3 linked regions of the Pelodiscus sinensis genome follow. The protein of the gene in region 2 purifies or fractionates together with the protein of the main gene of each other region. This does not show direct contact. Links are inferred from orthologs where the notes say so. Each region holds a gene or a part of one and is shown on either strand. Other genes may lie near its edges.

Region 1 (10,273 bases), on a different chromosome or scaffold from region 2:
ATTTTGATCTCCAGGGGAGCAGACCTCCAGAGGCAGAGACAAACCAGATGAGCTCCATTGCCTGAGGAACGCATGGCAAGAGATGGTCCCTTAAGTACCCAGGGGGTCTAAATTATTAATTGCACACAGTGCTGCAGACGGGGAGTCCCTGCGAAAGGGAAACCTGTCAGAGGAGAAATCCTGCTCAGACCCTTAGCTCAGTGACTGCACAACCAGGAACCCCTCCCCTCCCAAATGCCTTTGGCAATTGGGGCTGTCAGGAGGTGAACCAGCAGCAGAGGATGGAGGGTAGGAGCTAGAGGAGGGGGAGTTGGTGCAGATTGGTGTAGTGGGTAAGCAGCAAGAGAGGGGAGGAGGTGATGCCATTGAAATGTGCGTGTGTGTGTAGGGGGAGGGGTATTTGTGTCCATACGCACACAGGCAGCCTAAAGTGACAAGAGGCAGCATTGCAGGTCTGCCTCAAAGATGTTAAGAGCAACAAAACTATCTGATGGCACGCAGGGTTCCTGACTCACGGGAACCTGCAAGAATTTGTCAGAGCTCACATACTTGTCATTGCAAACGAGTTCTTCCAATTCCTGAAAACAGACACCACTATGCAGAGTGTGTGCGTGCGTATGTGTGTGTGTGCGTGTCTGAGTGTGCACATGCACGTGCATCCATGCACGTACTAACACCCTCTGCTGGATGGACTCAGAACGGGTCCAGTGTGTATCTTAGGCTCTATACTGCTAACAGCGAAAGGAGAGTCTCCTGTCTTCATCCCACTCCTTTTTATGTTACACACAGAGGAGAGACATTTCAAAGGCACTTCCATTTGTGCCTTGAAAATCTCCCCCAGGCAGAACTTTGGGATCCAGTCTGACAGTTTCTCGGTAGCATCAACTAACTCCTCCATCTCGTCAGTGGAGTAATCCCAGTGGAACGACTCTCAGAGCCTTCTACCATTTATAAAAGCACCGAGCACAATCGGGCTTTGGCCCATGCCTGAGCCTCCTACATGCTACCACAATACCAATAAATAATGGTGCAATGTGTGGTACTTCTTAACAAGGAAATGCTGCTGAGCTGCACTCCCAAGACAGGCGGGCCCGGGGTTAGAAATTGTGAAAATAAATTTGAGGGAGAGTTAGCAACAAAAATCCAAAGAATAAATCCATTAAAAACCCCAACAAGCATGCCTATGCAGTGTGCCACAAAGTGCGTCTAGTTTGCGTAGCTGATGATGGTAGCAGGGCCAGATTTTTAAGCTATTCAGACCCTTCTCCTGTCTTTGGGACAGTCACCAGAGGAGAGAGCCATGCATGTTTTACAGTTCACTTCTCCATTATCAGAGCACAGTGCTGCTCCTCTCTCCCTCCTGAGTCTGTGCTCAACCCATGCTCCCAACCTGGCTTGAGGGGGTGTCCGCCTGATCCAAGGGCCCTCTTTCACAAGATTTGATAGTTTTCTTCTTTTCCCACACTGCTGGGCAGTGTTGTTGTGAGCTGTTAATCAGCTGCCACATCCCAACCCAGAAGTGGCTGCATTTCAGATATAAATAAAAGGCCTTTTAGCTATGGGTGAATCAAACTGTATGTATTTAGAATGATCCACTGAGGGAAAGAGTACCCACATTTTCTGGTTGCCCTAGCTCCTAAAACCTATGCACTCAGGGGTGAGGACCCCATTGTATACACACATAGTAAGAGGCAGTCCTTATTATAGAGCTCACCATGTATATAGACAAGGGTGGGGGGAGGGAGGATTCTTATCTACATTTTGCATGTGGGGAAACTGAGGCACAGAGTGGGCAGTACCCAAAGTCACATAGGGAGTCTGCCGTAAAGCCATGAATTGAACTAACAGCTCCTAACTCCTACACCATCGTCCTAGCCATCAGACCATCCTTGCTTGAGGAGGAGGAGGGGGGCCAGCTCTGGGAGGGGATGTTGACACCCGCACCCAGGAGCCTCGGGGATGGAGTGGGGAGCAGCAGAGCAGTCCGAGTTTCCCGGGGCTGATAACTGTCCCTGCGAGACTCTCCACACACCCACTGCAGGGCCCAAAGCTCACATCCCTCCCCTGCAATAGGAACCTCCCCCCTCCTCCCCAAAACTCAGAACCTAGGGCTGGAGGAGATCTGAGCTGCCCCTCCGAGAGTGAGGCTTGGCCAGCCAAGCCCTCAGCTCAGGACTGAGCGCCAGGCCTCCTGCGTGCTAACCAAAGCGCTGACTCGCCGGGCAGCAAGTCACTGCACGGCCGTGCCTCAGTTTCCCCACTTGCGAAGGAGTAGTACTCGCCTCCTGGGGGGCAGCGCCGGACAGAGACTGCCAGGCCAGCGAATGCTGCACATGCTACTGTAGGAGAGTCATCGCTCGCCCCTGCTCTGCCCAGCGGGCCAGGCTGCGTCTCACATGAACTGGGAGTGGGGCGAGCTAACACTCCCACTAACCCCCCTGCCCTGAAGGGACCCTGCTACGGTGCAGCCCTGAGCCCCCCCAGAGGAGACGGCAAAGCCCCTCTCCACGCCCTGCAGTCGCCCAGCCTTCGCCCCAGACAATTGCAGGGACCCCGCCGTGCGCATCTGCCCGCGGTAACTGGGCCATTTCGTGGGATCTAAACGTGGCCCGGCACCAGCCCTGGATCCTCTTTGCTTCGGGTCCCGGCCAAGCCAAGCGGGTGATTCACGGAACCGATTTCCACAGCCCCTAGCCAGCAGCTGCGCGACCCCTGACCCAACGGGAAGCCCGCCCTGCTCCCCTGGGCTACCCGCCGGCGGGGGCTTGGCTCCGAAAGGAAACCGAGGCACAGCAGGAGCCCTCAGCAGCCCACGCTGCCCTGGAGCGGGTCCAGGCAAAGCGAAAATGCCGCTCGCCCCCCAGCCACGGGACCACCCCGCCACCGACCCAGCGCGTCCACAACCCCCGCGAGCAACCCGGGCGCCCTGCAAAAAGGCCGCCTCTCCAGCCAACGCTTCTTGGGGGGGATCAGGCCAGGGAGAAACCCCCCTTCCGCCGCCTGGGGAAAGTCCGGGTTTTCAAGCCCGCCTTGTAGCATCTGCCAAAGGCTGGAGCTGCGGCGCTCCGGCCGAACAAAGCGACACACGCTGGTGAGCGGCAGATGCTAGAGGAGCCCTGGAAATGGGCTATTCATGGGCATTCGGTCGAGAGCGGACGGCTTGGAGTCTGCGTTCGCTCTGCTGGGCCGTTCAGCGCCACACGCCGCCTTGCTGCTCTGCTCACAAAACAAGTCCCCTCACCCTCCAAACCCAAACATCTCCCGGTACATGGGAAAACGCCGGGATCCAGCAGGCGGATCTGCCGGGGCAGCTACAGTCCAGGAAACAGGCGAATAACACACGCGCAAGCATCACCGTCTGCAGCTGAATAACCCGCATGTAAAAAAAAATACATTCACCCACCTGGTTCCTTTGTCTCCCATGGCCCAGGCCACCCTTCCAGCCACTTGCCAGGGAAGGATCAGAGAGGCGTGGAAAATTACTAGCTGTTAATGTGGAGCCAGAGGAAGCGGTCGTCTCCTGGCAGGAATTGCTTACTCGCGCTCTCACCGCACCAGCGCGCAGACCCCGGCTGCAGACGATGCAGAGAGCTCCACCGGGCTGTCGCCTGGCTCCGTGTCTTAATAACAACAAGACTGCTGGGCGTGTGGCCGTCCGGCCCTGAAGTGCTTTTGTGCGTAGAGATCACAGCCTGGAATAAACCCAGCGGTGGTGCACGGATGTCAACGCAGCCATGAGATGAAGGGCACAGGCGCAAATCCCAGGCACAGGGAGACACACACACACACACGCAGAGGATCCCTTAGAGGGTTGTAGCTCGCAGACACGGCTGCTCCATCTCTCCCATTGACAGCTTCCCCTCCTGCCTCCGTGGAGAGAGATCCACCCTCGCCGGGCTCCGAGCAACACCGCCTCCTACTCCAGGCGTGCACAGCTCAGGACTGAGCCGCGCACAGCTGCTGCAGCCCGTGTGGTAACAGGCTCAGGAAATCAGCATCAGCATCATCTCCCTCCGGCTGCCCAGAGCTGCGTGAGAGCAGGGGGCTGGCTCTGCCCGTGGCCTGTGAACCGCGGAGTGTGTGCACGCAGGGGAGCTGGCCATGCCGCAGCTCTCCAGGCAGGGGAGTTTGCGTTTCCTGGAAACGCTCTGTGACCCTTCTCTTCCTGGTGCCAAACAGCTGGATTTGGGCAGAAACCATCCCAGGCCATTGGCTTGGCTTGCAGGACAACGTACAGCCGGTCTCACCCCTGCACTGCCCCCCCATCCGCCTCTTATTAACCCCTCCAGCACAATGCATGCAAGGGCTTCACAGACAAGAGGGACTGGAATTGCTCCCCTGCAGCTGAAATGCAGCCACCTCTGGAGTGGATCATGGACAGCGCAGAACACGGCCTCTCAGTGCTTAGCGAAGTTCAGTGGGGGAGATCTAGGTTGGATATTGGGGGAAACTATTTCCCTAGGAGGGTGGGGAAGCACTGGGATGGAATCCCGAGGGGGTGGAATCTCCATCCCGAGAGGTTTTTAAGTCCCGGCTTGACAAATCTCTGGCTGGGTTGATTGAGTTGGGATTGGTCCTGCTTTGGGCAGGAAGCTGGACTTGATGACCATCTGAGGTCTCTTCCAAGTCCTATGATTCTATGATTCTAACAGTAACCAGCACTGAGGTCTAGTTCGGCTGCAGCACAGAGATTCCCTGGAGCCACACTGGAATGTACTCCTGTCACGTCCCCTTCCAGTGAGAGCAGCCGGCCATGGTGTCAGTTTGTTCACTGACTACGCCCAGCTGTTTCGTGGTCTGGGGAGGCCGAGGGGGGAGCACGGACTGGTGAGTGTGGATGCAGCCACATGAGTCCGTTAGATAAGCTCCAAACTGCAGTGATGCACGATGGCCCACTTCTGACCAGAACAAGCTCAGTATGCCTTTGCGAGTCAGTGGAAAAGAGGAGGGGGAACCACTAAGCCACCCAGTCCGACCTTCTGTGTATCGCCGCCCAGTAGCCACCCACATCAGACAAAGGGACTGCAGCCCACAGGAGACTGGGCCATGCCGCAGGCAGAGAACACAAGACACCAAAGCCCAAGCACCCTGCAGTGGTGGGGAAATGACTCACTGAGATTTACCCAGGTGATGTAGCGGGTGACCTGCTCCCACAAGCTGCAGAGGAATGAGAAAAAAAAACACCCCAAAGATCTGTGGCCATGTTCCTTCCAGACCCCACCCAGGGCTACAAATGAGACCCTGAGCACAGCAACAAGAACTGGCCAGAGAGAGACAGAGAGAGGGAGAAGATGCTCCGTGTCCCCACTTACCGCATCCAGGTTGTCTTCAAATCAGATGGCTGCCTCAAGAGATGCAAAAATGAGCTCCCTGTATCCATCACCTGGGATTATAGTCGCTCAGAACAAGATACCTCTGGGCTCACACAAATACATTGTCCCTTTCCACTGAGAACTGACAACCCAAAAGGGCAGCAGGAAGGAAATGTCCTCATTGTGTAGCTGGCGACCCCAGGTGCAGAGAGCCAGTGACTTGACAAAGGTCACACAAGGAGGCTGTGGCAGAGGATGGGATCCACAACTCCTGGTCGCCCTCTATGATGTGCAGAGTGAAAGGGCTAGAGAAACGAAGAAGAAGAATGGAGGAGACAGGCTGCCATTTATTTCAGGACATGCACCTCACACAAACTTCTCCACCGTGAAGCACCAGCTAGGGTGAAGGAAGCAGGGGACGATGCCTTAGAGATTGTCTCCATTGCGTAATTCTGTGTACTTGAAAATCTCATTGCTTGTGCCGTTTGTCCCCTCTGGATTCTCTCTGGTGATGTCACTGGCGTTCTAGCGCTCACTTCAAGAAGAAGAGAGCAGAGGCACGCCACTGTGCGTGTGCGTGTGGTATGAAAACTGCTAGTACAGCATGAAGGGCTGCTCTCCGGTGAATAAAGGCCTATTTGTGTAACTAAGTGGTTAGCTAAAATCAGAGGGTTTGGGGGTGGAAGGGGCACTTGATCCTTCCCCTAGGCAGGAGACAGCAGGAGGCAATTTCCATTTCTGAGGCAGATGATGAAGCTATTCAGATCTCCTGAGCTTTACTCTCCTCGGCTCCAGGAGATTGGGGTTCTCTTCCCACAGAAGATTTGTATTTTCTGCCCCAACTTTAGTACCAAGGCATTTTAGGCTGGGAAACCCCCATAGTTCAGTTTCCTAGGTCAGACTACATTTCCCATGGTGCACCTCAGTCTCTCTTCTTGGCACTGCATCATGGGAGTCCCTGGCCCTGATGCATGATGGGAGATGGAGCCCTGCTCCTGGCTCTCATGCACAAATAGATGGTCAAATCCCACGCCATGCAGAAGGAGCTCTGACACTGTGTGTAGGAGGGACAAATTCAGGTCTTTGTCCTTAGACCCAGAGCCCAGCAACAACTAAAACCCTTTGATGCGAAACCTGCTAACAGTTTGCTGAGCTTGTCTGCACAGTCACACGTTCTCACCCCACTGGACTGCCTAGAATAGCACTAGACCTCAAAAGCGCCCAGGCCCCGAACGACCTGCCTGAGGTCACTTCCAGAATGCAAACAGGGCCTCAACTTCTCCACTCAACAGGGTCCCTCCACTGACCCCAATGCCACCGTGTGTGGGTTCACAAGGCAGCAGATGCCCAACAACATTAAACCAATCACGAAGCCCTGGAAGCCATCTCGCTCCAGATAAGGATAGGGCAGGGTTCACTTAGGGACCAGCAGGCCTAGTGGGCCGGCCAGGGCTCAGCAGTCCCCCAAATCCTGGGGTGGGCTTATCAGGCAATCCGAGGGGCTGGTGGCCAAGTTACAGTCTGTCCTTCTCCAGGTTCCCCCGGTCAGACAAAGGCCGGAGGGAGACCTTGGCCCTCCCTCTCCAATAGGTCCCAGCCCAGCACCCAAGGTGGAAGGAGGGTCTCACAGACCAGCCTCCCCTTGGTCACTTCCTACCTCTCCTTGTCTCCCCTCATTTTGGGGCATGGTCAGACACTCATGGAGGGCTGCTGAAGCTGTCTCAGCCACTCAGAAAAACAGCTTCCCCGCCCCCACCCCAGCGCCCAACGATTCCCCTTTGTCAGGGGGAATGGGAGGGGAAAAAGACGGGGCGAGCAGTGAAGGGGAATCCAGGGTCCACTGTTCATGTGACACCTCCCCCCGCAGCCTGGGGAAGGACTGGGACAACCCCCCATTGTTCCAAGCCCTGCCTCTCCTCACCCAAGCTTCACCCCCTTCTGACTCTTGCTCCACCCTCTCCCTGCCTCTTCCTGGCCTTTGCTCTGCCTCCGCCCCACCTCTTCCTTCAGTCGAGGCGGCTCTGGGGGAATAGCTTGGCTGGGGGCAACGCCAGCAGCAGGGTTCTCCCCCCCCCCCCGCACTGGGGGAAGTGGAGCAATATGGCCCCGGCTCGCTGTGCTCCTCCGGCCACGTTGCCTCTTCCCAAGAGCGAGCGCGGGGGCCGTCTCGTCCCTCTCTGATGGACAACTGGAGGAGCAGAGCGAGCTAGGTCCACTTTGCTCCACTTCCCCCTACTGCCATTGAGTCCGGGGGTGAGGGCAGAGCCCTGCTCCAGGAACAGGCCCCCTGCTGCTCTGCCTCAAGTGCTGACCAGCTCCTTGTCTCTCGCACCCATAGCTTTGGGGCACATGACCCTCATGCCCCCCTACATGTCGCCCCAGAAAAGGAATCACACCCGTGGGCCCATGGTCTGGACACACCCACAATCCAGGGCCTCCATGGGATTCCTCTCTCCCAGAAGCTATTGACTGGCTTCCTATCCGCTGACAGCCTCTCCTTGCTGCCTCAGCCTGACCCATCCCCTCCTCAGCAAGTCCTCCAGCTGGTGGAGCAAGCTCTGCAGCTGCCAAGGCCCAGGCCTGCTCCATCACCCCGTAGCCTTAGCAACCTGCATCATGGAGCGTTTGCACATGCGAGCTTGTGGCTCAGGCCCCAGAGCTTGGTTCTAGAGCCAAGCTCTTCTAGAGCATGTAGAGCTTAGGTTTGAAATGGCCATTGTGTCTTTACACGGGGTCTTCATGTCTTACGTAGGCCAAAGCCAAAATGTAAATGCCTTGGCGGCAGCTCTCCCCCCCAACTCCAAGTTTTCAAATGCTCCTTTATTTGGGCCCTTTTCCTCCCTTTACTACTGTGCTGCAGAAAAAAAGGAAACTTACTCTCCTAAAACAACGAATAGTCTAGCAGCACCTTAAAAAGACTAACAAAACATGTAGCTGGCATCTGAGCTTTCGTGGGTTCAACCCACTTCTTCAGATGGCTGGAGTATTAAAAGTCCAGATCCAAGAATAAAAAAGGGAAGGTGTGTGTGTGGGGGGGGGGGGGGGGGGGGGGGGGGGGGGGGGGGGGGGGGCGGTGAGAGGGAGGGTGGAGGAAAAGGAGGAGGAGAAAGAAAAATAAATAAAAAAAAGTAGTGAATTAGATTGTTCAAGTTACACGAGGCTGATAAGAGCAATTAGCCTCTTGTAACTTGATCTAATTCACTACTTTATTTTCTCTTTTTTTCCCCTTTTTCCCTCCGCCTTCCTGTCCCTCCGCCTTCCCTTATTTATTCTTGGATCTGGGCTTTTAATACTCCAGTCATCTGAAGAAGTGGGTTGTACCCACAAAAGCTCATGATACCGTCTACATGTTTTGTTAGTCTTTTTAAGGTGCTGCTAGATGATCGTTTTTTAAGTTTTTCCAGTTACCGATGTCAGGGACTCTAGCCCAGATGACTCGGTTCGTTGTCTGACCGCAAAGAGACAGGCAACACCAGCAAAGTCCAATCACAAGCTCTTTATTGAAGAGTGCACACAACAATAGAGAGCGGCCCGTCTCCAAAGAGAAGCAGCCCCGATTCTAGTGACAGGTAGGCTTATAAAGATAGTTCCGTTGCGTCATAAGCTCTTCACCCAAGCCACTTACCCCCCTTTCTAGAAACTTTTAATATCTATGCATATCTTAGCCAACCATACATTGTGGCCAGAAGCGCTTCAGAATGCATCAGCAACTTTCTTATCAATCACAAAAGGCAGGTACCAGGAACAAGGAGACAAAAGAGTCGGGTACAAACCAAGGGCAAAAAATAGGGAGGTAAGATTAGTGAAGGGGAACAAAAACAGGGAGCTTCTGACCAGTTCCCAAAGCAAGCCGCAGTAGGTACAAATATGTAATTTATCACTTCTTACTTTTATAACCTAAGCCAGCATGGAGGGCGCGCCTCTGTCTGAACAGCTTTCCTGGTTCTGGTCAAGAATACTCAGAGGCCTATGAAATTAGCCTTTGTTAACTTTCCTTAGCATAATGTTGACCAGGCCTTGTTTTTCTGGGCCCCACACCGACTAACTCAGCTACCCCTCTGAAGCGTTTGATCTCCTAGAACAGCCAGCAGTCCCTTCCCCCCAGGCCAGCCATACACTTCACAGCAGGACCAGCTGCTCTGGGCGTGAAATCCCAGTGTGAGAAACACAAGTGGCCAGAGAGGAGCCAACACATTGTCACCATGTCAAACACCAGCTCCCTCCTTCTATAGAGTCATCCGACCTGGGGCTACATCCAACCTTCTTTCCTCCCCCCAAAGCCACAGCAGAACTCTGCCCCAATCTCTCCACCATTGGAATCCACTCCTTCCGCCTCCTTGGGCTGCACTGGACAAGGGGGCCAGTAGCCAGCTGACAATGCAAGTGACTGGGATAGTTCTGGGATGAAGACCAGTCACTGGTCCTTTCATTTGGCATTTTAAGTACATCACAGTGCAATAGACCCCAGGATCATCCTATTATGCCAGATTACTGCTCAAGATTGTCTATAGAGTGCTACCAGACCTAACAAAACATGTAGATGGGATCATGAGCTTTCATGGGCACAGCCCACTTCTTCAGATGACCAGAATTATCTGAAGAAGTGGGCTATGCCTACAAAAGCTCATGATACCATCTACATGTTTTGTTAGTCTATAAAGTGCTACCAGACCATTTGTTGTTTTTTTCTGTAATAGGCTAACTCGGCTACCCCCTGAAGCTCCTGCTCAAGATAGCTAAGTCCAAAGCAGACTGTGAAGACCTTCAAAGGAATCTCACAAAACTGGGCAACAAAATGACAGATGAAATACAATGATGATAAATGCAAAGTAAAGCACATTGGATAACATAATCCCAGCTATACACATGAAACAACAGACTCTCGATTAGCTGTTACACCTCAAGAGAGAGATCTCGGGGTCCTTGTGGCTAGTTCTCTGAAAACATCCTCTCAGTGTGTA
Region 2 (9,931 bases):
AACTTTTCCCAAGTTAACCACGCCCACTTACTCAGCCCAAAGCCCTTTTGCAAACCCCACCTGGTTTCTTGGCTGTGGGTTTCTCATCTTCACTGGAGCTGTCATCACTGCTTGAGGAAGATTCTCTCTTGGCCTTCTTTGCAGGAGGCCCATTGGGAACAGCCTTCCGTTTCTTAGCGTCAGGGGATCTGGGGAGGAGGTTTGCAAGTACAGGAAAGTCTATTTTCATAGCCACTGCATACAACAATATACAAAGTAGCTATGGCCACTCTGTGAGGATTCAAGACCTGGTCTGTTTACACTAAGAGTTCTCTTCATACACCAGATAACTTAGTTCTTTTGAGCTATGGTAAGATGCTAATTAAGAGATTTTCCAGTGAAAGTAATCAGACAAAGATTTCATATGTCGTACGTTTAAAGATTTTAATGACTTAAATAAATACAGATTGTTATTTTCAATTCTATTATGGCATCAAGTCTCATTAAAAATGCAACTCAGTGCTGTTGATGATTAATTGAAGCCAGAGGTTATACTTTGCATTTTTGACAGTATAAATGCAATCACTAAATTCTGCATTTTTTATTAATATCCCTGTTTTCTTGACAGTTACCTTAATTTTAAGTTTTAATTTATGTTTTCTGCATGCAATTCAGTTCCAGCTTTGTTTTTCAGTAGCCCTCTTAAAGGCATTAGCTAGATAAACGATTCTTACAATGGAGAGGTATGCAATGCCACAACTGCAAGGTTCAAGTCTCCGCATGCCTATTTTCTCGACTTTGGGGTGAACCAAATAAGGGATCTCTTAGGTCAAGAGATCATGGATCTGGAAATATGGGTCTGGGGTTTTAAAGACACATGAAAAATGCAAATAGAGAGATGGGTAGAGAAAAGCAACAGAACCTGAGAGAAAATGAGAAAAGCAGAATGCTTATGGCTGCAGGAGTTTATCAGGGTATTTCTCTTCCTGCACTGAGGGGTAGGAAATTCAAGTGCTGCCTCATCTCATTCTTGTTTAAAATAAACTGCTCACATCCCAGAGATACTTGGGGTTCACGAGGGGCCCCTGAGCTCGTGACACACAGCTCTCGGAAGCCCTGACAGTGGCCTTAAGCACAGCCACCCCCTCTGCATTCCTTCCCAAACACAGCAACTAAGGCAGCTCCCTCAGGATCCTGACTCTGCAGACCCTTCCAGCTCACAGCAGCACATTTCTGATTCAAACTGCCCATGCTCCCCACCCCCCCATGTCTCTTGCCAGCTCTTTCATCAGTTGTTCCGTCCCCAATAAGCCCACCCTACCTGCACTGAGGAATAACTGGCTCGGGGCAGACAGAAAGGCAGGATTACAGCATGAGCATTTTGGGGATCAGTTTTTAATGACCAGACTTGGACTCTAGAACAGCCAACTGGGCTTACGCAGCACTTTTAAAGCAGTGTCTCCTAGCTGAATGCAGACCAGCAGGTTGCAGGCACATGTCTCAGGTAAGTCCTAGCTAAAGCTGAAGACAAGGGTCTAACTACCTGTAGCTTCTTAACGGCCACAATTAGATTAGCTGGGAGCGTGGGTCATTTTACAATCTCTCAAAAACAACTAGTTTTGCGAGGATTGTGTAAAGTGCATATCTACTACACAGTAACCCCGGATAAGGTTTTCCCCTCTGTTTAGAATAGCTTATTTTTACTGTTTCTCTAATCCCTTTAAGGTTTCCTGGACTAACTAGCTCCTTTTCCCTACTCTCTAGCCTCTTATCCTGAGAAGACCAGCTACCCTTTCAACAGCTGCTTTGTTGCCAAGAAGCCAACTTGAATGCACATTCTTTTACGAAAATTAAGGATGTGTCTTCATTGCCCAGTTAGCATGGATTCTCACCTGGGTGTGAGCACTTCTACCTACACAGAAAAACCCGGGTTTGGAGGTTCTTTAAGCCCAGAGTTGCTTGTCCAGCTGGGGAAAACTGTCCAGCGAAGTCATACCATAAGTATGGAATATCAAAAAACTCACATATTAGCCTTTCACTTAAAATAAGGTTAAAAGGGGTTAAAGGGCCGTAGGCTGCTGCTCCTGAAATGGCAGCCTGGAACTTTGTGACGAGAAGGCCGATTAGAAGTGCTTTGCAAATATTTTCTAAAAAACAGTCCTTCCTTATTATGGACAGGTACTGCCTGGAACACAGTACCAGCTCCTCCAGTCAGAACTCAACAACTTCTCCCCTGGAGTACCAGCACCCCCCCCCTTTTTAACCAAAAAAAAGCACTGGATGGACCTAACCTCCATGAATCTATCTAGCTCTTTTCTGAACCCTGTTAAAGTTCTAGCCTTTACCACATCCGCTGGCAAGGAGTTGACTGTGTGCTGGGTGAAGAAAAACTTTTGTTTTAAACCTACTACCTATTAATTTCATTTGGTGACCATTAGTTCTTATACTGTGGGAATAAGTAAATAACTTTTCCTTATTCACTTTTTCTACACCAGTCATGATTTTATAAACCTCTATCATATCCCCCCTTGATCTCCTCTTTTCTAAGATGGAAAGTCCAAATCTTTTTAATCTCTCTTCATAGGGGACCCCTTTTGTTACCCTTTTCTGAACCTTTTCCAATGCCAATATATCTTTTTTGAGATGAGGTGATCACATCTGTACGCAGTAATCAAGATGTGGGCGTACCCTGGTTTTAAATAAAGGCAATAAGATATTCTTGGTCTTATTCTCTATCCTTTTTTAATGATTCCTAACATTGTTTGCTTTTTTGACTGTCGCTGCACACTGAGTGGATATTTTCAGAGAACTATCCACAATGACTCCAAGAGCTCTCTCGCGTAGTTGTAGCCAAATTATTCCCCATAATACTGTATGATGGAAGTTTAGTTTTGCTGGAAAACCTTTGCCATTTAATACACCAATCTGAAAAACAAAGCGACCATAGAAATGTCCCAGAGATGGACTGGCTTAGTCCTTCTCAACAAATATTGTAGGAGGAGAGACACTTACTTGAGCCAGTAGTTGAAGACATCCAAGAGAGAAGCAGCATTAGGGTCCTGGTCTGTCTGTAAACCAGAAACACACAGGACTATTAGCACTGACAAACCACATGGACTTCTCGACTTTGGATGGAATGGAAAACCCTGACCCATTGGCAACCACTTCTGAATTCACACCTTCCTGATGTATACCAGGTGGAGAGGTGGGAGACTTAGCAAATGGAGTGTGTTGCTCATAAAAACCTTCAATAGCATCAGAAGCTAGAGTTAAAAGCCTCTGAGTAATCTGAAAAAAGAAACAACCTGAGTTATTTAGGACTCAAAATTCCAGGACCCATAGATTTGTTAACATCTACAACCAAGATTCTGCAGACACTTCAGCCACACGTGTGCTAGGAGACATTGCCTTATTCTTAACTATGCACACTGAGTAGTTTCATTCATGTTAAGGGGACAACTCAGTGTGTCCAGTTAGGTATATGCCAATGCCTTGCAATAATGGAGCCTAATGGGAGGGGGGAAAGATTTACTTAACATCTTGATTAGACAGTAAGTATTCTAGAAGAATTATCACTATCAGTATCTAATTACGAAAAGACAGAAAAAGTGGGCAGATCTGGAGAAAGTTGGGGGGAGGGAAGAGAGGGGAGGGAGGCCCTCCCAATTTTGCGATCATCTGCCACCATTTTCAATGAGGTCTCACGCCTTATGCAGAGACTGTCTCTCCCCGGTGCTAAGGTGACATGCAGCTGCCCGGAGAGGTAGGCAAACACTGTTCTCCCAGGAGCCCCCCCCCCCGGGGACAGCCCCCCCCCTTCCCCCAGGACCCCCCCGGCCCAGCCCCCCCTTCCCCATGACCCCCCCCGGCACAGCCCCCCCCTTCCCCCAGGACCCCCCCCCTTCCCCCAGGACCCCCCCCGGCACAGCCCCCCCCTTCCCCCAGAACCCCCCGGCACAGCTCCCCCTCTCCCAGGACCCCCCCCGGCACAGCCCCCCCCTTCCCCCAGGACCCCCCCCCGGCACAGCCCCCCCTTCCCCCAGGACCCTCCCCGGCACAGCCCCCCCTTCCCCCATGACCCCCCCCCTTCCCCCATGACCCCCCCCCCGGCACAGCCCCCCCCTTCCCCCAGGACCCCCCCCCGGCACAGCCCCCCCCTTCCCCCAGGACCCCCCCCCGGCACAGCCCCCCCCTTCCCCCAGAACCCCCCCGGCACAGCCCCCCCTTCCCAGCCCCTCCCCTCTCCCAGGACCCCCCCCCGGCCCAGCCCCCCCTTCCCCCAGGACACCCCCCCAGCCCCGCCCCCAGGACCCCCCCCCCGGCCCCGCCCCTCACCACGCCGGCCGCCCGGCCGAAGGCGCGCGCCGCGCCCTCGAAGTGGTTGTCGCGCAGGAAGGCGAGGACGAGCGGGAAGAGGTCGCTGGGCACCGCGCGCGCCTCCGCCATGCTTCCACGCCGGCCGCCCCGCACGTGCCGGGGGACGCGCTGCGTCGTGAGGTCACGGGGTCACACGTCACACGTGGCCCCGGAAGGGGGCGGGCCTAGCCGCCATGTTGTTAAAGGGAGGGCCCGCCGCCCGCACAGCCGTAGAGCGCTCGCGCGCCACCTGGCGGCCGGCGGCTGCAGTGCAGCGGGTAGGGAGGGGCGGGGCCAGGTCCTTCGCCAGCCTCCGGGGCAGGTGCCACCTGAGCACGTGGGAGGCCAGCAGCTGGGGCCAGTGGGCCCTGCCCTGGGGGCTGATCCGGGCCTGGGCAGCACTGAGCTGGGGGAGCCGAGTGCGGCTAGAAGAACTAGAGGACACCAAATGAAGTTAATGGGGAGCAGGTTTAAAACTAATAAAAGAAAGTTCTTCACACAGCACATAGTCAACCTGTGGAACTCCTCGCCGGAGGAGGCTGGGAAGGCTAGAACTAGAACAGACAGGGCTGGGTGGAGGCATGGGCGAGCTGGGCAGCTGCCCAGAGCCCCAACCGACGAGGGGCACCTAATGGCAGCTGTAAGGGGCGCATGGTGTCCCTGACAGATGCCATCAGGAGACGTGCGCCCGGCTCCTGCAGCACCTGCCCCTCAGTGCCGGCCAGCAGTGCCCTTCCCCCGACGGCTGTGGGGCCCTGCACGGCCCGGCATGTGTGCCAGCAGCGCTGGCCGGGCTGGGCTGGGTAGCGCATGCTCCGCGTGCCCCGGCAGCGGGCCTCAGGCTTTGCGCCAGTGGCCATGGCTAGCGCGCGTGTATGCCATGTGCCCCATGGGCAGGCCCGTGCCCCATGGGTGGGCCTGCGCATGCGCCCTGTGCCTGGGGGCAGCACTGCACGCCCGGGCCCAGGGCGCCAAAAGGGCTCGAGCCAGCCCTGATAATAGAGTTTAAAGAGAAGCTAGATAATTTCATGGAGGTTAGGTCCATAAAAGGCTATTAGCCAGGGGATAAAATGGTGTCCCTGGCCTCTGTTTGTCAGAGGCTGGAGAGGGATGGCAGGAGACAAATCGCTTGATCATTGTCTTCGGTCCACCCTCTCTGGGGTACCTGGTGCTGGCCACTGTCGGCAGACAGGCTACTGGGTTGGATGGACCTTTGGTCTGACCCAGTCCGGCCGTTCTCCTGTTCTTATGAGTTTATGCGCCGACAAAGTGGGGCTCTTATGTAAACTGTAACCAAGCCTGGGACTCTCCCGGGGAAGGAGGCATTGCACCCGCTCTTACCAAGGGGAGAACTGAGTCAGAGAGGTCCAGGCCAAGATTTCGAGCAGTGATGGCAGATTTTGGGCGCCCCTCTTGAGACCTCAAAGAGGCCGGCTCCTCAGGAAGGGCTGGGCAGCTGCTCCCTGAACCAGCCCCATCCAGGCAGGCTGCTGATGGGGCAGCCCCAGGTGCTCGTCACTCAGGACGAAGGGAACGTGGCCGGGTTGCGGTACTGGGGGCTGTCCGGGCTCGAGACGGGAGCATTTTATTTCTGCCTCCTGGGGAAGTGTTGCCCTTTGCCCAAATGGCTGCCACCTCCCATCTAGGGGCCAGCCTCAGCGAGATGGCTCCCGCTGGCGTGCGTGGGCAAAGCGCCCCAGCCGGAACTGCAAGGAGGAGGAAGACCAGCCCTTGGGCCTGGCCACGGAGAGGCCACCACGCTGCTGTCCTCTCAAGCAGCCAAAGTCCCTCGCCTCTGAGTGCAGCCCCGCTCATGCTATGGCTGTGTAGTGCCGAAGCCCGGCCAGGCAGGGCAGACGGGGCCCTCGCTGCTGCTCTGTACTTCCCCTGGAGAGCAGCTTCCCAGCAGTGACTAACCGTGAATGAAGCGCAAGGCGGGTGTGATACACACAACACTCACCCCACAAACGCCTAGTCACTGCCCTTCTCTCACTCTTGTCCCCGGCTCGGCGAGTGTTTTCTTCTCTCGTGCCTCACGGGCTCTGCTCAGCCGCGGCCTGGCTTTGCTTCTTGCTCTGGTTCTGTCAGCTGCAGGGGGAGCCAGGCTCTCAAAGCAGGGCCTGTCCTGCTCCCAGCTCCGCCTTGGGAGACACAGATCTCGGAACCAAGCCAAGCGATGGAGCATTTTATGCCAACCCTCTGAACTAGTCCCATTGTCCCAGTCTCCTTGCATCTGTTTCTCTGCACTGAGCTGGAGTGGGCCTGCTAAGGTTGCTAAGGGAAGGACTTTCTGGTGGTGCCACACCAGGTCCAGGGGGTTCCCTGCTTTTCTCTTGTCCCCAGGAGATGTGGCACCTGCAGCCACTTTGACCTCAGCAGCCCAGTTGTGGTTTGGGTCTGTTCTGAAAATTGAGAGCGGGGGTAAAATCCACTTTCCCTGGTCTTAGAACTAGCCAGGCTGAGCAGGAGCTGGGAAAGACTCAGAGCCGCATGGGGTGACATCTGTAAGCTTTCTAGGGGTATTCCTTAGTCCCAGCAAAGATCCGTATGTTTTGCCTCCTGCCCTCTTATGACAGCTGCTTGACATTAGCTCCAGCTTGCTCTGCTGCTGTGGTAAGTCATGCGCGGGTGTCTAACATGCACCTGTTAAAATCAGCACTCAGACAGGGCCTGTACACTGCAGAGTGACGCTTGGTCACGTCCTTCATAAGCCAGGGCCCTACCAAAGTCATGGTCCATGTTGGTCAATTTCATAACCCTGGGCTTTTTAAAAATGGTACAGTTCATGAGTCCGGCTACTTCAGTCTGACATTGCAGGTTGTCACTGTTGGGGTCCTGACCCACAAAGGTGTTTGGGGGCAGTCGCAAGGCCATTGTGTGTGGGGGGAGGAGAGAGGTTGTGGTATTGCTACTCTTGCTTCTGTGCTGCTGCTGCTGGAGGTGACAGACATTGGCAGAGCTCAGAGCACCCAGGTAGGTATACAAAGTCCCTGTGACAGAGTGGGACCAGCTTCTTAGTGGCTTGAGTGTGAACCAAAGCCTGCAGTTTTGGTGAAGGCTCAAATCTAGATGTCAGATTTTAGGGATGTTATGAGACAGGCCAATACTTTGATCCGTAACTAACACCGATTCTTCCCTCTCTCCTCCATCAGACACTCTTTTGTGATGTCACAGATTCCTCGCAGTTTCCCCTGTGGAGAGGAACGCTGTTGGGTATGAATCCTAGAACACTAGAACTGAAAGGGATCTAGTGAAGTCATCAAGTCCAGTCCTCTGCCCCCACAGCAGGGCCCAGCACTGCCTAGACCATCCCTGACAGGTGTCTATCCAACCTGCTCTGAAATATCTGCAATGTTGGAGATTCCACAACCCCCATCAGTGATTTATTCCCGTGTTTAATCCCCCGGACAGGCAGGAAGTTTTCCCTAATGTCCAACCTAAACCTCCCTTGCTGCAGTTTAAGCCCATTGTTGCTTGTTCTGTCCTCAGAGGCCAAGGAGAACAATTCCCCCCCCTTCTCCTTGTGACACCCTTTTAGATCCCTGAAAATGGCTCTCATGTCCCCTCTCAGTCTTCTCTTTTCCTAACAAAACAAGCCCAATTCCTTCAGCCTTGCCTCATAGCTCATGTTTTCTAGGCCTTTCATCATTTTTGTTGCTCGTCTCTGGCCCTTCTCCAATTTCTTCACATCTTTCTTGAAATGTGGGGCCCAGAACTGGATCCGACACTCTAGCTGAGTACAAAGGCTCTGATTGGCTCGCTAGCAAGGCAGGAAGTGCTCGAACAGGACTCCCCTGACAATCTGCAACGGAGAAGGCTGCTTGGGGTAGGGAGATGGGGGCTGTTACTGCGTGCCTGGGACTGAGGAGGACGGGACTGGTCAGTTCTTGACTCAGGACCTTGGACAGAGCCAGCGTCCGTCTCCAGATCTCATCCCTTTCCATAAAACCAAACCGCTAGACACCCTTTCGTGCGGGGGTTCCTCTCTGAAGATGCCTGTCAGTGGAACCTGGTGAATCGGGCTCTGCTGATGGAACCGGTGACGTGCGCCTCTGGGCTAGCTGGAGGCAGGGAGTCACTTCAGAATGGGGCGAAGGGAGTGCGAAAGGGAACTGCTGGTGAATGCAAGAGGTTCGGACGATGGCATTGGCCGGCTGAATTTGCTCTTGAACTCAGAAATCCTGCTCTGACGCACCCTGGCGGGAAAGGAGCAGTAATGCTCCGTGGTGGCCTCCGAGCCACCCTGCTCCCAGAGGGAAGAGTAGGAACATGTAGTGTAAGGTGCCTCCTCTCTGAAAGCAGGGTGCACCCACCTCTGCCGGAATAGCAGGTCCCTAGGGTGATTCCTGCCCCAGCTACTATGGAAGCTGGTCCCATTGTGTCGAAATCGAGAGCAGGGCTCTGCTTTTCTGCACCCGGTGGGGGTGACGGTGGCTGGGAAGGGTCACAAAGGCCTCCTACAATCTACTGGAGCAGCAGAAGGCTGTATATAAGGTATTTTGCACCCATCCTAGCCCATTATGAAACCAGTCCCACCTCACCCACCTTCACTGATTTAAATCTTGCAAAATTAATTATGCAATGGTCAGACACCCTAAAAGGACCAGACACTCACCAATAGAGAAGTAGAGACCATAAAAGCAAAATACTAGAGTTTTTGCCCCCACCATTGTTGGTAAGTGATGCCTTGCCAGACTGAATGCCATCAAACAAATTGTTCTTTCTACATCTAAAGAGATTCCTTGCTTATCTACATGTGCTGTTGAGGGGAGCAGCCGGATGTTACCTTGTTTTAATATAATTTAGAAGGAGTGCGAGGATGTGGTTTTCTGCTCCTTTGGGCTCATGCCTGCTGCTCCCCTAGAATGGCTGCAGAAAAGGGCCTCAGACCTCACAGCTTTGCCTGCGTATTGTTTGACAACCTCCGTGCGAGGACTAGGGTGTGAGAATAAACACAGATGGACTATACTTGTACGCCACATCAATCAAATCTCCTCCGGCGGAAAGCTGACCCGCGAGGCCTCTATTCCTGTTCCACAGAAGGGCAACACGGACAAAATCTTGATGGTGCTCAGCAAAGAAACTCTTCCGAACGCAGCCTTAATCCATGCCTGTTTTGCTATGTCCGGGGAAGCTTGTGTCTCAAAGTGAAGGCTTCATCCTTCCCATGTGGGAAAATGTGAGATGCTTACTAATGTCAAGTCACAGTTCTTTATTTGACACTACTTGCTCTGTTTCCTTAAACCAGAGCAATATGACTGACCACTAGGTGTGTGTCTACACTGCACCCTTAGCTCAAAATAAGCTACTCAATTAAACCAGTATTCCAAAACATCCCGTGATCTTCATGGAATGAGGCTTACAGGGATGTCAGAATAGCGATCCCATTTCATTTTGAAATAACAGAATAGATATTTCAGGATACTTCCGGTATCCCAAAATAGCTCCACTGTGTAGACATAACCTAGGAGTTGTGGGAGAAAAATCAAATAACTCCAATTGTGTCTAAGGGGGGACTGTGCAGGAAATCAAAACTCTCTAAAAGAAAACTGCTGTAAGGGTTAAAAGTTTTCCAGGCCTCTCTCCCTGTAACAGA
Region 3 (9,764 bases), on a different chromosome or scaffold from region 2:
TCTGACCCTGCTCCATTGCCCCACCGTTCCCCTGGGATCTACAGTTCTCCCCTCCCCAGATCCATGCCCTGGCCAGCCCCCACCTCCTTGTCCAGTGAAGCCTCGAGGTGGAGGGACCGGTCAGACATCAGGAAGTGTCGGGTGGTCTCTGCCATGGGCTGGGGGCCCGGCTTCTCTGGAGCGTACTGAACCTTTCGAATCACCAGGCGCACTGAGTTCCTGTGGGGAAGGGAAGTCACAGCCTGCCCAAATACCTGGGTCTTCTGCCTGGTGGGGGCTGGTGAGTTATAATGGGGACAGATGGACCGGGAGCCAGGACTCCTGGGTTCTCTCCCAGGTTCTGGTAGGATAGGGGATCTTCCTGCACATTTGTAGCCTCTACCCTACATGGGGGACTTTAGTACCTTTTATGAATCTTTTCTTCTAGGGATTTGGCACAAAAAGCTCGGATCTCATAATCAACCCCACAGGCCTGAGAGGGGGAGAAAAATCCTGTTAGCCTGGTGCCCCTCACTTTTGACCCGTAGCCTCGCCAGCCCAGCCCTGGGCTCTCCCAGTGCCCCTCACTCCCGACCCACAGCCTCTCCAGCCCAGCCCTGGGCTCTCCCAGCCCTGCTGGTGCCCCTCACTCCCAACCCACTGCCCCTGCCAGCCCCGCCCTAAGCTCCCCCAGTGTTGCTGGTGCCCCTCACTCCCGACCCACTGCCCCTGCCAGCCCCGCCCTAAGCTCCCCCAGTGTTGCTGGTGCCCCTCACTCCTGACCCACTGCCCCTGCCAGCCCCGCCCTAAGCTCCCCCAGTGTTGCTGGTGCCCCTCACGCCCGACTCTCAGTCCCACAGTCCATACCTTGCCTGTGTCCTCTGGGCCAGGCTGCAGCGTGACTGAGCAGGGCAGATTCTGCGGGATCTGAGACACAGGGAAGGTTAAGCAGGGCTCTGACCCCTCATAGGGCACTAGGGGTTGGGTGTGTCACAGGGCCCTGCATCCCCATGTGCCGTCAGATGTGACTCCCAGCCGGCAGGTAAAACAGAAAGTTTAGTAGGTGACAGGGATACAGTGTAGAACAGACTTGTCAACATAGAAACCAGCAGCAGCCAGTACAATCCATCTGGGGAGAGGGGGGACCAGAGTCAGGGTAGTCCCAGCCAGGCCCCTCCTCCAGCCTTTGTGGTGCTTCCTGGTGTAAAGATGTTACTTAGACACGCACCCCTCCCAGGCTCAACTTCCAGAAAGTATCAGCCACTGTGGATGTGGGGGAGGCTGTCACACTGAAATGCCCAGCCCCGTCTAGGCATTGGTACAGTGCCCAGGGAAACGAAGGCAACACATGGCATGACACCAGAACTAACAAGCAACATAAAGGGCATAAAATCCCCATTTTGCCACATGAGGGGACGCTCTGAGGACTTACTGTGAAGGTGAAAGAGGGTATGGGGGGAGTAGGCAGGGATGTCAGAAATGGTTTATTTTAGTAATTGTGTAGTGTCAGCAGTGCTTAGTGGTTACAGGCCGGCCTTGCGATAAATCCAAGATATGTTTAAAAAAACCTGGACTTATAGTGAAACTGAAACCAGGGCATTGTTCCCCACGGATGACTTCCATGTGCTCAAATTGGGTTTTTTGTTTTGTTTTTGGCATGACCGAAGAGCAGGGAATGGGAGGATTTATAATGCATCAGTTCCTACAAGTGGCAACGACTTCAGTGTGGAACAGATGTATAACAGGGGGACTTAGAGTGGGGGCGCCCTGTACACGGTTACTAAAATGCTCCCTCCTGAGGTTGGGCCTGGCAGCCAGTGAACTCCTGTCCTACTCCTGGGGAGCCCCCTGCCACTCCGTGTTGGTGACAGCAGCTCCTGTCTAGGACTCCAGGAGTAGGACAGGAGCTCAGGCTGATTCAGAGGCATTAGTGCAGGTGGAAGGTTGGAGCTGGTTTTTAAACCAGCTGCTGGCACGTATCGACTCCCACCTGCTGCCCCGCAGGCTCTGAGCTGTTTCAAAGGCAGTAGCGTGGCGTGGTAGGGGGCTCCCATGTTCTCTTCATTTAAAACTTGGACCTATGGGCTGCGACTGAGCAAACCTGCTGGTCCGAGTTTTAAATGCAGAGCACGTAGGGGTGTGTTGCAGTTAACTGGGACTGTTAACTGATAAACAATCGCATATTGGTTAAACGATTAGGCAACTAGCCACTAACATCCCTAGGGTTAGGGGGTGCTGGGGTTCCTGGGGGCTCAGCATGAAGGTGAAAGAGGGCACTGGAAGGTTGAGGGTCCCTGGAGAGTCCCCGGGGCGCTCACCGTGAAGGAGAAGGGGTGGGCATGGGCTCCCAGCTTGCGCAGCAGCCGCTCCTGCAGGCGGGTGGGGGAGCACTGCTCCTGAGGCAGGGTGGGCACAGCCTGGCACGTGGCGACGAAAAGGTCTTTGCGGAACGATAGGCCCAGCACATCCAGGTCCTCACGCCCATAGCGGAAAGCGCAGGTCAGAGTCACAAACACTGCAGAAGAGGGGTGGGGAAGAGGGCAGCAAGACAGGGTGAAGGCCTCAGACAGCTCTACTCAGAATTCCCCAAGCTGTTTCCCACCCTCCTTTTCCCCAAGATGCCTCCCCCTACCCAAGAACAGACATGCCAGGGGTGGAGCCTGATCACTCAGCCTCGCCCCTAGCCAGTCTGGGTCAAAGGGGCAGTGGTGGAGCCTGGAATCTCACCCCTCTTCAGAGCAGGAGCCTCCCCCCCCAGCCCCTCTCACCTTTCCGATCCTTCAGGTACTCGGGGTCCACCAGCACCACTCCATCTGCATGGGAATCAGGGCAGGGGTGAGACTGGGCAGGATCCCCTGATCCCCACTAGCTCTGTGCACCCCAACCACCCCAGAGCCAATCAGTCCCTGGACCCCCAGACTTCCCCCAGCCACCTCAGCATTCTGACCCCCAGTCTCTGACCAGCCCTCTAACTCCCTACTCCATGTCTCCTAACCCTGAACCCTCATCCCCGTAACCACCACCCCACTCCAATAGCCAACCAGTCCCTGGTCTCCCAGCACCCCAAACACCTCCAGCCCTAGCACCCCACTGCCCCTCAGCCATCTCTGCCCCTCAACCTCCAGCACTCCTAGAGCCAACCGGCCCTCTGAACTCCAGACCCCCACTGACCTTCCTCCATGTCTGACCCCCTAACTGCCAGCCCCCCAATATCCCCAATTCCCAGCCTCCACCAATCCTTTAAGGCCCCTACCCTCCCCACTCCCTAACCCCCTAACTCACCCACAGGGTCCACCCGGTCCAGGTGATCCACAAAGTCACGCTTGCCAAGATAGACAGTGAGCTGTGGGAACAGACAGACATGGGGAAGGGGGACAGACAGATCCTCACACCCACGTGGGGAAATAGCCCATTGCAGCACCCAGTGGGTGGGGGGGAACTCTACCAGATCAGGACTGCTCTGATGCAAGCTGTCAGTCCCCAATTAGCACCCCCTTACCTGGGTTCCCAGCTGTTTTCTGAAGACCCGGAGGCTCCCAGACATCTCACATCGAATCCTGTCCAGCTCCAGGGGCTCCATCCCCACCCTGAGATGCCCTCCCTGCCCCAGCCACGCCTGCTGCCCCCCCACGCACCTTCACTGTACCTACCACCCCCCCACACCCGCTGCTCCTTCCAGAGTCTGTTTATCTGCAGCTCTGCCGCCCCCTAGGAATTTGAGGGGGCCCTAGGGAGGGGGGCAGCCAATCAGGAAAGGGGGGGGGGCAGGTGTGTGGAAACCCAATGTAAACAAACTGTGTGGGGGGGAAGGAGGGAGAAGAAGTGGGTGGTGGTTAACTCTTCACTGCCTGGAGCTCAGGGCCTCTCCCCCTTTCTCCCTCAAGAACCTGGGATGACTCTTCCCTAGCTCAGAGCCCCCCTTACACTGCACCTTCTGCCCCTCGACAATACAGGGCCCCACTCCCATCCCAACCTTAGCCCCCCCACCTCTCTATGCACAAGCCTCAGGCCAAGTTCTGCGTGGACGGGCACTCAGTAGTGTGTGCAAAGGCCCATGGGGGGAGGGGAGAGACATGGCAGGATCCCCGTGTCAGTGCGCAAGGGAGGAAGCCAGGCGGGGGAAGAGCCGCAAGAGGAAACCATTGAGGTTGGGGGGGGGGGGGGGGGGGAAGAGACCATAACACCCAGAACTAGGGATGTAAAATCCCATTTAATGAGTTAACTGGTTAAACATTAAGTTTAACTGGTTAACCTATTAAATGCACTTGGGCAGGGTAGCCCCTGCCCGTGGCCAGGCTGGAGCAACCCCTTCTTTGGCTGGGCTGGACCCACAGCAAACAAAAACAAGAGCTGCTCAGGCCAGGCTGGAGCACCCTGCCCTCCCCGCCCACAGCGGAAGCAGCCCCACACCCACAACGGGCGGATGGCTGTTCCAGTTAACATTCTTACCCAGAACCCAAGGCCAGGCTGGCCAGGGGCTGCAGGTTGGGATTGAGGAGGACTGGGAGGGGCGGGGCTGCGGGTCAGGAGTGAGCGGCACCAGATGAGGCTGGGCTGGCCGGGAACTGCGGATCAGGAGTGAGGGGCACTGGGCGGGGCTGGGCAGGCCAGGGGCTGTAGGTTGGGATTGAGGAGCACTGGGTGGGGCTGGGCTGGCTGTGGGTCGGCAGTGAGGGGCACCAGGCAGGGAAAGGCTGGCCAGGGGCTGCGGGTCGGCAGTGAGGGACACCGGGCACGGCCAGAGTCTACACGTCAGATGGGAAATGGGGGGCTGTGAGTCAGGAGTGAGGGGCACCGGGCTGTGGGGCCAAGGGCTGTGGGTAAGGGATGTGAAAGACTATTCAATTATCCAATAAGCAAATGCTTATCGGATAGTCGACAGAATAGTTGACTAGTTGCTCCTCCCTCTTGCTGGCTCTATCAGAAAGAGGCAGCAAGGGGGGCGACAAGGGGGGGTACTTCAAAGCGGCAGCGCTGCATGGAGCGTGGGGTCAGCTGCTCCGTGTGGCACTGCTGCTTTGAATGCTGTGGGGAGCCCAGGATCAGCTGGGGACTCCCCAGCTGACCCTGGGCTCTGTGCAGCGCTGTTGCTTTGAAATGCCGTTTCAAAGCAGCAATGCTGCATGGAGCCTGGAGTCAGTGGGGGAGTCCCCAGTTGACCCTAGCGCTTTGGTGCTTTCACCTTTGAAGTGTAGCAACAGCCCTCAAGCTGTTGTTACACTTCAAAGGCAGAGGTGTCCTATTGACTAGTCAATTACCCGATACTTAACATCCCTACTGGGGGTCAGGAGTGAGGGTCACCGGGCAGGGCCGGGGTGGCTGGGAGCTGCAGGTCGAGAGTGAGAGGCACTGGATGGGGCTAGGTTGGCTTGGGGTCAGGTGGGGCACAGGAGCTGCGAGTTGGGAGTGAGGGGCACCGGGCTGTCACTCACCTTGCAGTTGGGACTTGATTTCTTGAAGACCCTGGGGAGGAAAAGGGGTGGGGGAAGGGGCATAGGTCAGAACTGACTGACATGGGCCTCCCCAACTTCAGCTCCCCCCATCTCAGGGGTCCACCAGGCTGACCTTTGACCTCTGCCTTCCAAGCAGTAGCTCAGCTGGGGGAAAGGGGGGGGGAATCCACCTGTCTGCCTCAGGTCTAGCTGGTTGCCACAGAAACAGGATCCAGGCTGGTTGTCCCAGTGTAACCATAGTGACAGGAGCAGCAGGGGGGTGGGGAGGAGTGAATTCAGGGACCACCCAGGAGTGAAGGGGGAACAACCCAGCTGATTCAGAATGAGGGGGGCAGGATCTGGGGGGAAGGGTCCCCCACAGCTCTCCATAAAGCCCTCCCCAATTTTCCAGAAAGGGGAGAGAACCAACTTCTGCCCCACCAGGCTTGCCCAGTTCCCTCTAAGAGCCTCCCTCTAAGAGCATCTCCCCAAACATTTCATACAGTTTGGGGGGAGGATTCAGTGCTGGATTCCCCCTACATATTCAGGTTGCTATGGAAATTGCTAGTCCCATGTCTCATGCACTGGGGAAGATCCAGGCTGACCTTTGACCCCACTGGCTGTTGGCCCCCTTCCTCAGAACAACCAGGTTGAGGAGGAGGAGTCAAGAAGCAGCCCCACCTGGAAGGTACAGACATATGGGGTGCCAGGATGTAAACAGGGAACCCAGCACATGGGAACAGAAACAGCAGTAGGGAGCTTTGTGTTGGGTGTGAGGAGCACTCATAGTAGCCCAGCGCTGGGGTAGCAGGGGCTATAGGTTGGGAGTGAGGGGCACTGGCAGAGCTGGGGGAGTCCAGAGCTGGGCTGCCAGGGTCTGAGAGTCAGGAATGGGGGGCACTGGCAGAGCTGAGGGGAGCCCAGGACTGGGCTGGCAGGGGCTGCTGTTTGGGAGTGAGGGGCACTGGCATGGGGCAGGGCTGGCACAAGGTTAGGACACGTGTCTCCAACAGGACGTGGCGTTTCCTGTTTTGTTTCCTAGACAGGATGTTGTGAGGAAGTCCTAGGGAGGCACTTGGGTGACAGTTGGGGGAGGTCACCGTGCACCCCTGCGGTTCAGCACTCAGCCAGTTGGCCCTAATCCTGAGCCCTCTCTATGGCCTCAGGAAGGGACAGCACTGCCCCAAGGGGATGGGACAGCGTTGGGCCCCCCTCCCTCCTCAACATAGGTTTCTGTACAACTTCTCCGCTCCCCCAAGAGGTGGCTGCATCTCTGCACCAGGGACGGAATGCAGAGTGTGGGACTCCCTAGGGCTGGGACTGAAAGTGTTTGTAAAGAAAAACTTAGGGCTGGGATCCCTTTGCTCCCCCAATCCCAGCCCTCCCCCCACATCTGCTCTGCTCCTCAGAGCAGCTTCTGCAGTCTGCCTGCTGAGCTACGCAGCTTCCAGTTCCTCTTTCTGACCCACCCCCACGCCAGGAGAGACCCACTATCCCAAACAGCCTCAGAGCCAAGGGGCTGCGGATTGGGAGTGAGGGGCACTGGCAGGAGTGGTGGAGCCAGGCAGCCCTTGGCCCCCTCTTCTCTAGCCTCCTGCCCTTATCTCTGGGGCAATAAACTCCAGAGCGCTCTGACCAAACATGCCTGACAGCTGCTGCCAGGTTCCAGCCTATCCCTAGCACCCAACGCAGAGACAGGGCAGGGGGAGAATATCATATCATGGGCCAGGTCCCTGCACCTGTCTGGAGGGAGCCCTTCCCAAAGGCCTCAAAGGACCGAGGCATCTGGGTGTTAAATGACAGCTTCCCAAGGTGTCCTGAGGAACCCAGGCGTCCGAGGCAGGGCTGGCACCAGGGTCCGATATCTCCGTAATCTGGTTCCACCCCCAGTGCCTGGCAGTGCTGCTGCCTTACTCCTGGATTAGCTGCCCCTCCCCCAGCCATGACCTACATCCTTGCACCAGGATCAGGCCTTTCCCACTCATATGCAAGGGAAGCCAGGACTCCTGGGTTCTCTCCCCAGCTCTGGGAGGCAAGAGGGGGCTGATGAGTCAGTGGGGGGAGGGGAGCTGGGTACCAGGACTCTTGGGTTCCCTCCCCAGCGCTGGGGAGGAGTGGGGGCTGGTGAGTCAGAGCGGGGGGGGCTGGGAGTCAGGACTCCTTGGCTGTGGGAGGGGAGTGGGGGCTGGTGGTTGGGGGGGGGCTGGGAGTCAGGACTCCTTGGCTGTGGGAGGGGAGTGGGGGCTGGTGGTTGGGGGGGGCTGGGAGTCAGGACTCCTTGGCTGTGGGAGGGGAGTGGGGGCTGGTGGTTGGGGGGGAGCCAGGACGCCTGGGTTCCCTCTCCTGCTGGGATGCAAGCTCCCCCTCCCCACCCCGCGCCCTGTAGCGCGCCGGACCAGCCCCCACCTGGTGCCCGCCTTCTCCCCCATGCCGGCTCCGGGTGCAGGCGCCGCGCTAGACTCGGGGTTCACGTCCCGGCTCCGGGTGATAGCGGGAGGGAGCGGACTCGAGTGAAGCCATGGCCAGCGCCAGGCCCGCGTCACGTGGGGTGGCGGCGCAGCCAATCCGAGGGTGCGCCGGGGAGGAGCCGTCAGGGGCGGGGGATGTTGCTGCAACCTTGTGGCGAGCGAGGGGAATGACCCCCCCGCCCAGACAGCCCCTTGCCCGCGGCTCGGCACGTAGCGTTCAACAGCACAAAGAGGAGCTAGCCCCCCTGCACGTGCCCTGAATGCATCTTGCGGCACCCTGGGCCATGCAGTGACCCCAGTACCCTGCACAGTCCCTGCCATCCCCCTGGGCCCTGCTCAAGGCTGCTCCCCCTTGTCCTGCCCCATGCAGCACCCCTATGCCCTGCATGCACCCTGCTACGCCCGGCCCGTCCCCCTCCCCCATGCTCTACATGAGCCCTGCCCCATGCCTGGAAATGGGACAGCTGTGGTTTGTGCTGGCGGAAGTTACTCAACCAACTGTGAAAGCAGAAGTGAGAGAAGACTGCAGAGATGGACTTTTATTCAGGGGTTACTTAGCTCTATCCCCATATTTCACAGGTGTCTCCCCATCTCTGGGGCACAGGGCAGGCACAGGCAGGGGATGGGAGACATGATAGCGGTTTTCAAATATCTAAAAGGGTGTCACAAGGAGAAAGGAGAAAATTTGTTCCTCTTGGTTTCTGAGGACAGGACAAGGAGTAATGGGCTTAAAGTGCAGCCAGGGAGGTTTAGATCGGACATTAGGAAAAAATTCCTAACTGTCAGGGTGGTCAAATATTGGAATAAATTGCCAAGGGAGGTGGTGGAATCTCCCTCTCTGGAGATATTTAAAAACAGGTTAGATAGACATCTGTCAGGGATGGTGTAGACGGAGCTTGGTCCTGCCTTGAGGGCAGGGGGCTGGACTTGATGGCCTCTCGAGGTCCCTTCCAGTCCTATGATTCTATGAAATGTCTCTCTGGGATTACGCCTTTGATTGAGACCTGTTTGAGGTCCCTAGCTGGTACAGCTCACCATCCCCGAGTAGGGTGGCTCAGCTTCCCCCCCCCCCCCCAGCTACTCCCAGCTCAGGTCCGTGGCTGCCCTACATCTAGGGGACACTCACTGTTCCTTCCTAGACAGCTCCAGGACCCAAACTTCTCTCCCCACTCCAGGTCAGTAAATGGTTACCAAGCCCCTCATCCCCCAATCAGGAAAGACTGGACCCCAAACTCTGCTACCCTTGCATCACTACAGCCATCTCCCAGGTGTGCATAGCTGTTTCAAGTCCCACCCCACAGGTAAGCACAGTGGTTTATAGGATCCTCTGATGGAGACACATGTGCCTGGTGGTATTCTGGTGACCCACCTCAGTGAGGCATGCACTGGGTGAGATCCAGGGCCTACTCCTCTACTGAGGCAGAGGCTCTGCGTAATCTCTATGTGGGACAACCAGGATGGTCACATATGGTGGTTTCCATCCCTTCTCACAATTGGGAACAATGATGTCTAGATGCCACTGGGAATTGGCACAAATGGGCTATGTCTACACTCATGGCTTCTTGCCCCAGAAATATGCAAATGAGGCTAAGCATGGAATATCGCCGAGCCTCATCTGCATACCTAATGAGCCACCATTTTTGCAAAAGAGGCTCTTGTGCCAGAAGGAGCTGTCTACACTACCCCTTCTCCCGCAACAAAAACCCTCTTGCGCAATGCCATTACGCTGATTACTTTTCAGGAAGAATGACATTGCGCAAGAGGGTTTTTGTTGTGCAAGAAGGGGCAGTGTAGCCAGCTCCTTCTAGCACAAGAGCCTCTTCTGTAAAAATGGTGGCTCATTAGGTATGCAAATGAGGCTCAGGGATATTCCATGCTTAGCCTT

The links. Proteins that work in one complex are often made in the same cells at the same time.
Region 1: the proteins of NOLC1 (region 2) and beta-arrestin-1 purify together in Homo sapiens (affinity purification with mass spectrometry; 4 studies listed by BioGRID and IntAct, counting the BioPlex papers as one, with this or other methods). This does not show direct contact. The link is inferred for Pelodiscus sinensis from reciprocal best matches to the Homo sapiens genes NOLC1 and ARRB1.
Region 3: the proteins of NOLC1 (region 2) and ARRB2 purify together in Homo sapiens (affinity purification with mass spectrometry; 5 studies listed by BioGRID and IntAct, counting the BioPlex papers as one, with this or other methods). This does not show direct contact. The link is inferred for Pelodiscus sinensis from reciprocal best matches to the Homo sapiens genes NOLC1 and ARRB2.

What each region holds. Positions count from the first base shown.
Region 1 is NC_134711.1:324,011,167-324,021,439, forward strand, and holds the start of beta-arrestin-1, read right to left. Parts: upstream 4,065-10,273; 5' UTR 3,424-4,064; coding exon of another isoform or gene 3,404-3,423; intron 1-3,403. UniProt on the Homo sapiens protein: Functions in regulating agonist-mediated G-protein coupled receptor (GPCR) signaling by mediating both receptor desensitization and resensitization processes.
Region 2 is NC_134718.1:2,407,782-2,417,712, reverse strand, and holds the start of NOLC1 (nucleolar and coiled-body phosphoprotein 1), read right to left. Parts: upstream 4,477-9,931; 5' UTR 4,426-4,476; coding exon 4,315-4,425; intron 3,048-4,314; coding exon 2,992-3,047; intron 189-2,991; coding exon 61-188; intron 1-60. UniProt on the Homo sapiens protein: Nucleolar protein that acts as a regulator of RNA polymerase I by connecting RNA polymerase I with enzymes responsible for ribosomal processing and modification.
Region 3 is NC_134734.1:8,205,761-8,215,524, reverse strand, and holds the start of ARRB2 (beta-arrestin-2), read right to left. Parts: upstream 4,065-9,764; 5' UTR 3,560-4,064; coding exon 3,479-3,559; intron 3,323-3,478; coding exon 3,262-3,322; intron 2,793-3,261; coding exon 2,748-2,792; intron 2,495-2,747; coding exon 2,298-2,494; intron 907-2,297; coding exon 847-906; intron 473-846; coding exon 405-472; intron 220-404; coding exon 84-219; intron 1-83. UniProt on the Homo sapiens protein: Functions in regulating agonist-mediated G-protein coupled receptor (GPCR) signaling by mediating both receptor desensitization and resensitization processes.